Linked DNA regions of Daphnia pulex. The protein of the gene in region 1 purifies or fractionates together with the protein of each later gene. This does not show direct contact. Links are inferred from orthologs where the notes say so. Each region holds a gene or a part of one and is shown on either strand. Other genes may lie near its edges. The genes, in order: neural Wiskott-Aldrich syndrome protein-like and cdc42 homolog.

Region 1 (4,540 bases):
CAGCGGAGCAACGCAGAGTGGCGTGACCGGAAAGTCTCTGGGTTCGAGCCGAGGAGGTTGTGACGTACAGAATGCGCCTGACCCTACAAGTAACCGAATCATTACGTGTTCAAACGTTAAGAGCCTTGGCGAATTTCTGAAGACGGAGACAAAAGATGTGACAGCACAGCCCAGAGTTGACCATCAACCGGAAAAGCAAAAACAGATTCAAACACACGATGACGTCAAAGCATTGGGCGTGGCAGTGACACACCATTATCCAGCCCTGGCGCTAGTCATTGCAGGTGGGGTTTTGTTACATTCATTTGTATGAAATCCGAAATGTTATGTAATTTTTCCTAGCTTATTTAGAAATACACCAAAATACGGCCAAATTCTATGAACTTCAAATTCAATAATTTTTTTTTTATTGCTTAATTAAGAATTTTGGGTGAACTTCATATGTGTGACAATAGGACATTAGTGTAATTCATTTCAGAACAAGAAAGAATATTGGTAGATGAGGCAAAGCAAAAACAAGAAGGATAAAACAGAAACACATTTCATTCTAATAAGTAGGCACATCATTCACACACAACTACCCAAATGAATTATTTTTTTATTTTTTTTTTAACTCTAACTTGCAAATAGCAATATGTGCAACGGCTGTCACAGTTGGGTTGCGGTTATTTAAAAGATTCTTTGTGCGGCTTAAACATGTAAATGGATAGCTTGTACCACTGGAAGATTTAGGCAGAAGCAATATTGCAAATAATTAAATTCCAGTGAAAGATAAAAGACTAATAAGTCTCTTTAAAATAATACTACGTCAAACTCGAGGACTGCTTTTGATATAGGGAACGATTTTCACAAAAATTTTATTAATCGTCCCAATCGTCATCTTCATCTGGGTCCTGGCCGCTTTCATCACTGTCGGAATGGATGACACGACATCTTTCCTCCAAGGCCCTGGCCAAGGCACCGGCCATACCTTCCATGACATCGTCGCTGACGGCAACAACAGAAGCCTTTTTCTCCACGGGTTTCAGTTCCTTTCCTGCTCTTATTTGACCCAACAAATCGTTGCGTGAATCGAAGGCTGGCACTTTAGCGCCACTCTTCATCGATTGATCGGCATCACTCGGCACCGATTTGAGTTTGTGTCCCTCTTTGATGGCGTCCATCAGGGCGCCACGGACATCGGGTTGAGCTGGAGTGGGTGGGAGTGACGGAGACGAAACAACAAATGAAGGAACAGGAGGAGCAGGAGGTCCACCAAATGAAGGAGGCGGTGGAGGTGGTGGAGGAGGAGGAGGTGCACCGACAGGAGGTGGTGGGGGTGCAACGTTGTTAATTGGTGCCATTTTCGGTGGTGGGGCACGTTGAGGAGGTGCTGGAGGAGCAACAGATGGAGGGGAGGCAATCACTCTTGAAGGTGGCGGCGGTGGAGCTGAAACGGGTGGTGCCGGAGGAGCGATCCTTGCCGTCTGAGGTGTAGACGGAGGATTCCTTGCTGGCACCGGAGGTGCTGAAAACAAACTGCCGCCGGATGACTGTAAACTCGAAATCTCACGAATAGCCGCTTCTTTTCCTCCATGTTTGTCGATAAAATCGTAGATGAATTCACGTGTTGCTTTGTCTTTCAAGTGATTCTCCGATATGCCGGCCTTTCATTACAAAAGAAAAAAAAGTTAAACCATAACAGAAGTTAAGTTAAGACCATAGAAAAGTTAAACACAGAAATGCTGAGCGAAATAGTCGTCTTACTCTGGCGAAGAACTTCAACAGATTTGGATCGACGTTGTCAAGTGCAAATCCTTGATTGGGGTCCCATCCAACGTGACTGATGTGTTTGAAATCTGATGGCCCTCCAATATCCGCTTTGGTAATTTTCTTGTTCTTGTCTTTCTTCCCTTTTTTTGTCACGGTTATACTGTTTGTGATTGTCGCTGATCGTACTGCTGTAGATTTTGGTACCGATCCGTTCGTGGCGACTGGCGTGGGTTTTCCTGGTTGCGGTTGCTGCACTTGCTGCTGTGATAAACGACGGCGTTCTAAAACACAACAACTGAGCTATTAATCAACCATTATTTGTCAACATCAAAATGTACACACCTCGTTTCTCCGATTTCATCCTCAAATATTCTTTGATAGCCATCAGAAAGTATTCTGCCTCGCCTTCATTAGCAAAATTAAACCCGATGCGACATTCCTGCATTCGAAAAATATTAACCAAATTGATATTGTAATTTACTAATATGATCAAATGAATGTCAGGACTCACATCTCCCTCAAAAGTGTGAAAGTAAGGTCTTGGTGCACAGTAGTCAAAAGAACTGTACAATTCTTGCTCCCAGATGGCAGATTGCCTGTCGAGGCAAAATACTCTAAGGAAATAGGATCTCTTGATATTATCTTTGATGAAGCAGACTACACCACAATGCCGTTTGTTCCATGTGGATCTATTGGGTGGATCAGCAAAACAGACCTGAACCACAGCTGACGCCATACTCTGAAAAAGAAAAATTACAAAACATTAAATGTTGACTTTTAGAAGAATCTAGTACTGGGGGGACTTACTTTGCAGCGCAAGCCAATGAGTTTAAATAATTGATCATTTTCTTCTAGTGAAAGAATAGATGATGGTTTGTTTTCAGGTTGGGGACGCTTGGCAGCAGTCATGGCAATGTTATTACTGGTTCTAGATTTTTCAAAATGTGTCAATTAAACTTTCGATCGAAAACTAGTAAACACATCGACAAATTTATATTAAATTGTAACTGTCACACAACTGTAAATAAGGATAAGTAGTTCTTATTGTTTGAACGAATTTTTCACGATTATCATTCAATTGAATTATTATTTATACGCTTATTTCATAAACACTTACGGCAGTCACTCCCTTACCAGTCTCATGAAGATCTACACACGGTGTTTCACAATTTTAAGATACGAGAGTTTTATCTTGAGGAAATAGTCCAATACGGTCCAATGGTTTGGTCCACATCAGACAGGACGAAACAATTCCATCTAGCGGTAAATTCATAAACGCTATGAGAATCACGGGTTGGGATCAGTTGTTTACTTCATGTTCGGAATGTTGATCGCCTTTCATTTCTAAGAACTTCATCTTTTTGTGCTTTTATCTCTTCATTCGATTTGCTCCATATATCATTATTTTTTATCTTGTTGATGAATATATATATTTTTTTCAGTGATTCTTTAAACCAAAATGCATGTGAATGGAAAAGAATTAATAACCACCTCCTTCAAACCTGCGACGTGAGACATTAGATTGTGTATTAGAATAAATACGATGACTATTATACAAAAATTCTTTTTGAAATAGGATTGAAGGAAGAATAAATTACAGAGTTCTTCATCCGGGAAAGTCGAAAGGAAATTTCAAGGAATTCTGGTTTAAATTGACAGGCAATCTTCTTTTTTACTTCGGTTTGAACAATTTTGGAGGAATTAAAGGAAATGTAGGTTTGAAGTACAGAAAATAAGAATTTTGGTCTCATTTTTAAGCTGTTAAAATTTCATTTGCAGGAGCCTATTGGTGTGATAGTTTTAGAAAATTGCTCCGTAGCATTTGATGAAGATGGATCTGGGGTATTTGCTTTTGTTGTTACTTTCTCTGGTGATCAAGACAGACATGTGTTCTCTTGCTTCAGTGTGAATCAAGCACAGAATTGGGTCATAGCCTTGAGGCAAGCCAGGTAAAATTTTTCATAATAATTCATACATGGACAGTGCTGACATAAAATTAATTTTTATTTAGTTATGAACATTTGAGAATCCAAGTCAAAATTTTAGAGAGTAAACTGGAAAGTCTTGGTGGAAAGGTAAGTTTAAAAGGAAAAATTTTAAGGGAAAATTATTGTTAAAATGATAAAATCTTTGGTATGTTCAGAGCATTTTTAAATGGAGTACCACAGCAGCATCATCAAGTAGTACTACACCAAGTAGTGTATTTAAACAGCCTTCCAATTCTGCAGTTCCCGCTTTACCTACGCCCCCAGCCAGAAAACGTATCGGGCCTAAAGCAAAAACATTTGTGAGTCACATGTCTGACGAAAATCCCCTGCCGATAAATTCTTTCATAAGTGATAACAAACAGCCTGATCAAGACTTGATCAAATGGTGATTAGTGATGAAAAAAACAACCGTCCGACTTAAAAAAAACGTGCCAATCATAAAGAGATTTAGATAGATTTGTGTAATTAATATTAACATTCCTCTATTAAGCAAATTAAGTTATGTTCGGCTGATTTTCGAAATCTAGTCATTAAATAATGGCTCAAAGAAAAACTGCCTCTCGTTCGTCGCATTGGTTTGCACTTGTTACAATTGGCTATTCCGCTGTATCACATTGACATCAACAGGCAAACTAATGTCGTTTTTAGAAATCTTCTTTCTTTTGAAGCTGCGTGGCCGTGAACGTTGATGGTTATTTTCTTTTGGTGTGCAGTTACTGATTCGGTTGCAAAAGCCGGTCAAGAATGTTTGAATCAATTGGTTATCAACATTGTACAGAATAAATCCTTTTCGTTTATCC
Region 2 (3,999 bases), on another chromosome or scaffold:
ATATACCTGTGTCTTCGTTCCCAGTTTCGACTAAGTTCTGTTGGGCAAGCCGAGGATTTCTTTTTGGAACTTTCAACTACTGCCAAATGATCCTTTAGATTGGGAAGATTACTCACAAAGCGGGATGAGACTTCAACGAGCTGTCGCATCAATTTAACATTCAGCATGCAGGGAGGGGTAACAAACCGGACGGTCTTCAAATCCTTCTCCTGAGCTGCTTAAATGATGCTTTTGGATTCGTGAATGTGTGAAGCGACGGAGCATAATACTCGGGCGTATTTGTTAAACGTAGCATAGTTTGGCTCAGCTTCATAGAGTACATGCCACAAATTGACCATCAACTGCATTAGCTCACACATGATCCAGGGAGCAATAACTTGTTGCTGCATAGGAAGTAAATTCCAAATAGGTTTTCTGCTACTGATTTTAGCATTCTGCATCTTGGGTTTGTTAGTGGTTTTGTCGGCGGTATCTTCGTCTTCGGCTTCCATCATTTCGACCTCCTGTTCAAGTTTTGCAATAGCTTCTTCGTCGTCCTTTTCTTTCGACTCTCCCTTCTTCAGCATGTGAGTGTAGAGCGTGTCCCACATTGTCGTCACCACCGACACCATCTGACTAGCTTCATCTGCAACGGTGTCGGTCAGCAAGAGGCTGTCAAGCCACATGATAAGGCCACGATGTTGAATCAAGTCATAGGTAATGATTGAATTCTGAAGTGAAGATTGTACGACTTCAAGTATGAGCCGCTGTAAATCAAACAAAGAAAAATGTCTCGATGAAATCTCAAACTAAAATTCAATTACTAAAAAAATAACCTTATCAGTTTTGTCGGACAATAGATTGGATGGCTGCAAGGAGAGAAGGATTGGAAAGACTCTTCTTCGAGCACACACTAAATAGTCCTGACGACTTTTGATGCCATCTTGAAGAAGGCTGAGTAAAAAACTCCTTTGAAGCGACCTCTGTTCAGGTAGTTCAGTGTTATGAAGCATGACGAAAAATTCTGGAACTTGGGTAACATCCATAGCCGATTTTACCTAGAAACAATGAAAGGAATGGCGTTTAAGTTTTAAACGAGAAGGAAATTGCAATCAATTAACAGGAACATACCAGTAGAAAGTTATTGATTGCACGGTACATTGGGTGAGAAGGATCTTGAACGATGGCTGCAGCTTTGGCAAGAAATAATGCAATGATTGGACAGCTTTGGTGGTTTTAACATTTAACAGAAAATTTTGGTTTCCAGGGCATTGCTCCAGCATTAAGAGTCCACCGTTTGTAAGGATGGAACACGTTCAAAATTTCAATCCCTGTTTGAAAGTCACTTTCGTTAAAATGACGGGAGCAAATATGTGAGGTGCTCGTCAAATTACTACATGGAATTACTTCTTGCCATTTTGATAATGAAGTTTTAGGAATTGCAAACAGGGTAACCTCATTTTCTTTTTGATTTCCTTTGTAATATGTTGATTTACAACCAGGAACAGCACACCTGCCAACCATTTTTACATAAATTATGGTTAGGCTTCTTTCACGTAATACACAAAAATGGCCGCCGAAAGTATTATTTGAAACTCAACGTCTTATCACTAGATGGCTCTTTTTAAAGTTTCCACTTCACAACTTCTGACAGGCTCCGCCCTAAAACCCCCTGAAAATCGGCTTACGTTTACCCTGAAACCGGGATAGGGAAGCCAACACAGCCATGAACTGACCAGGTATCTATAGCTCTGCTTGCGGTTGAAGCGGTGGCGTCCTGAAATATTTTCTGACAAGTGGCAACGTTGCACCAGGGACGTTCACGCCTTGATATTCTCCAAGTGTCACTTCCACAACCGCTTTTTTTTGGATATTAAATATTTTTCAGCAAATTGTGCTGATACTACATTTCAAGATATTGATCGTAAGTGAATAAAGTGATTTGAGGTTCTATTCATTGACCGGTTTAAACCAAAGTCTTACTCCACTTTTATGTGTGTGTTTTCGCCCAGCGTCCTATCTATCAAAATGGCTGTCGAATAGTTTCGTTTCGCCCGCTTATCTCGTTGTGATCTGCTAATTTTGTGTAAGCCATTTCATTAATGTTATCTATTCCCTTTCATTTTAGAGTCTGACAGGAAGGAGCAATGCAGACCATCAAGTGTGTTGTTGTGGGGGATGGTGCAGTGGGTAAAACTTGTCTTCTGATTTCTTACACCACCAACAAGTTCCCGTCAGAATATGTTCCAACAGTAAGCTATCATGTGATACTCTCTCAAGATGTTATTTCTAACAGCTATTTGACATTTTTTAGGTATTTGACAATTATGCTGTCACTGTTATGATTGGAGGTGAACCTTACACTCTTGGGTTGTTTGATACAGCAGGTGTGAATTCCTTTCTACTTCATTTATATATATTTTTTTTCATTGTTACTTAACAATATTTCCTTAATTTTATGACAACAGGTCAAGAAGATTATGACAGATTAAGACCACTTAGTTATCCACAGACTGATGTGTTCTTGGTGTGTTTTTCTGTTGTCTCACCGTCGTCATTTGAAAATGTCAAAGAAAAGGTTAATATTAGTAGCTCAATCATTAAAAAACTGCAAACTAATGCACTCCTGTTTTGTAGTGGGTTCCTGAAATTACACACCACTGTCAGAAGACACCTTTCTTGTTAGTTGGAACGCAGATCGATCTGCGAGACGACGCGGCAACTGTAGAGAAGTTGGCAAAAAATAAGCAAAGAGTGATCACTATCGACCAGGGAGAGAAGCTAGCTCGCGAACTGAAAGCAGTGAAATACGTGGAGTGCTCTGCCCTCACTCAGGTAAGTCGAGCAAATTCTGTTTCTCCATAGTCGCAAATAGGTAACATGGTTGTTGGATTATGTCTCTCGCAGAAAGGGTTGAAGAACGTCTTTGACGAAGCCATTTTGGCAGCACTGGAACCTCCTGAGCCTATCAAAAAGAGGAGGTGTAATATTCTGTGAGCAAGACAAATTGACAGCAAAACAGGCAAAATAAAATTTCCTTTATATAAAATAAGGAGAGCTAAAAAAAAACACTCTTAAATGACACCTTGCTACTAACCAATGGAATTATTCAACGAGAAGATGGAAAAGCAAAATACTGATGATACGTTCTTTTTGCCAGTTCTTGCATTAACCAGTTTCAACGTGTCATTATCGTTTCGATTATTTTGTGTGTGCGTGCGCGTGTTTCGCAGGCCATTTGCCGCGCTCTTCCAATCTTCTTTTCATTCATCCTCTACCTTCTCGATCTAGGAAATAACACATACCTGTTCTGTTGCTCTCCTTCCTTTCTCCTCTCTTTCTTTGTTCATAAAAAAAGAAGTAAGCATAACAAAAGAACTTTGGCCTCATCATTGTAATCCTCATCGCAAAACTTGTCTGTATGGCATAGGAGAGAATATACAATAAAATTTTCTCTTATACCTTGCAGTTATTAATGCTGGTCAGTTCAGAATTGTCGCTACATTGGACGATTGCGTCGTCGCAATGTTATGGCTAATCTGCTACTATTTTTATTAATATAAGTAAAACATTTGATTGAATTTGACTTTTGACGCTTAGGATCGCTGGAACAGATGTGAAAGTAAGATTGCGTATGGCACTTGCGCATATCATACATTGATAAATAGTTTTGCCGGTTGGTTAGCAACTCATTTGCTCATTGACGTCATTTATTTGTGTATCAGCAGTTTTTAATCTACTACAAACGAAAAACGAGTTCAATTTTAAAAGTCCTGGTTGGTATGAACTAATATAGAACTTTATCACATGTTTTTGATAAGCTGTCGTTCAGCGACAGCGAAATGAATTTTTTTTTAACTACTCTCCCCAAAGGTTTTTATTTTTACTGTATATTACAACTTAAGTAAATTTTTTTCAATAACCGGCTGAATTTTTATGCAAATTCTTCTCGGAATTTATAAAGACATCGGAAAATCCGTTGAAAATAATTGTGATTTATATTTATTTAGCAACAATTTT

Evidence for each region.
Region 2: the proteins of neural Wiskott-Aldrich syndrome protein-like (region 1) and cdc42 homolog purify together in Drosophila melanogaster (affinity purification with western blotting; 3 studies listed by BioGRID). This does not show direct contact. The link is inferred for Daphnia pulex from reciprocal best matches to the Drosophila melanogaster genes WASp and Cdc42.

Annotation. Positions count from the first base shown.
Region 1 is NC_060019.1:7,010,977-7,015,516, forward strand, and holds neural Wiskott-Aldrich syndrome protein-like, read right to left. Parts: upstream 3,030-4,540; 5' UTR 2,887-3,029; exon of another isoform or gene 2,870-2,886; intron 2,827-2,869; exon of another isoform or gene 2,681-2,826; 5' UTR 2,662-2,680; coding exon 2,560-2,661; intron 2,492-2,559; coding exon 2,264-2,491; intron 2,192-2,263; coding exon 2,095-2,191; intron 2,034-2,094; coding exon 1,747-2,033; intron 1,647-1,746; coding exon 861-1,646; 3' UTR 443-860; downstream 1-442. Other genes in the region: uncharacterized protein LOC124190376, read left to right, coding at 1-313; pleckstrin homology domain-containing family J member 1-like, read left to right, coding at 3,212-3,261, 3,329-3,464, 3,532-3,701, 3,764-3,827, 3,896-4,129; wiskott-Aldrich syndrome protein-like, read right to left, coding at 4,327-4,540.
Region 2 is NC_060017.1:3,183,651-3,187,649, reverse strand, and holds cdc42 homolog, read left to right. Parts: upstream 1-1,748; 5' UTR 1,749-1,903; intron 1,904-2,107; 5' UTR 2,108-2,126; coding exon 2,127-2,231; intron 2,232-2,293; coding exon 2,294-2,366; intron 2,367-2,447; coding exon 2,448-2,557; intron 2,558-2,616; coding exon 2,617-2,814; intron 2,815-2,886; coding exon 2,887-2,976; 3' UTR 2,977-3,440; downstream 3,441-3,999. Other genes in the region: nucleolar pre-ribosomal-associated protein 1-like, read right to left, coding at 219-746, 816-1,037, 1,111-1,140. UniProt on the Drosophila melanogaster protein: Regulates mbt kinase activity and is also required to recruit mbt to adherens junctions. Together with mbt and Frl, regulates photoreceptor cell morphogenesis. Together with Frl, has a role in the neuronal development of mushroom bodies.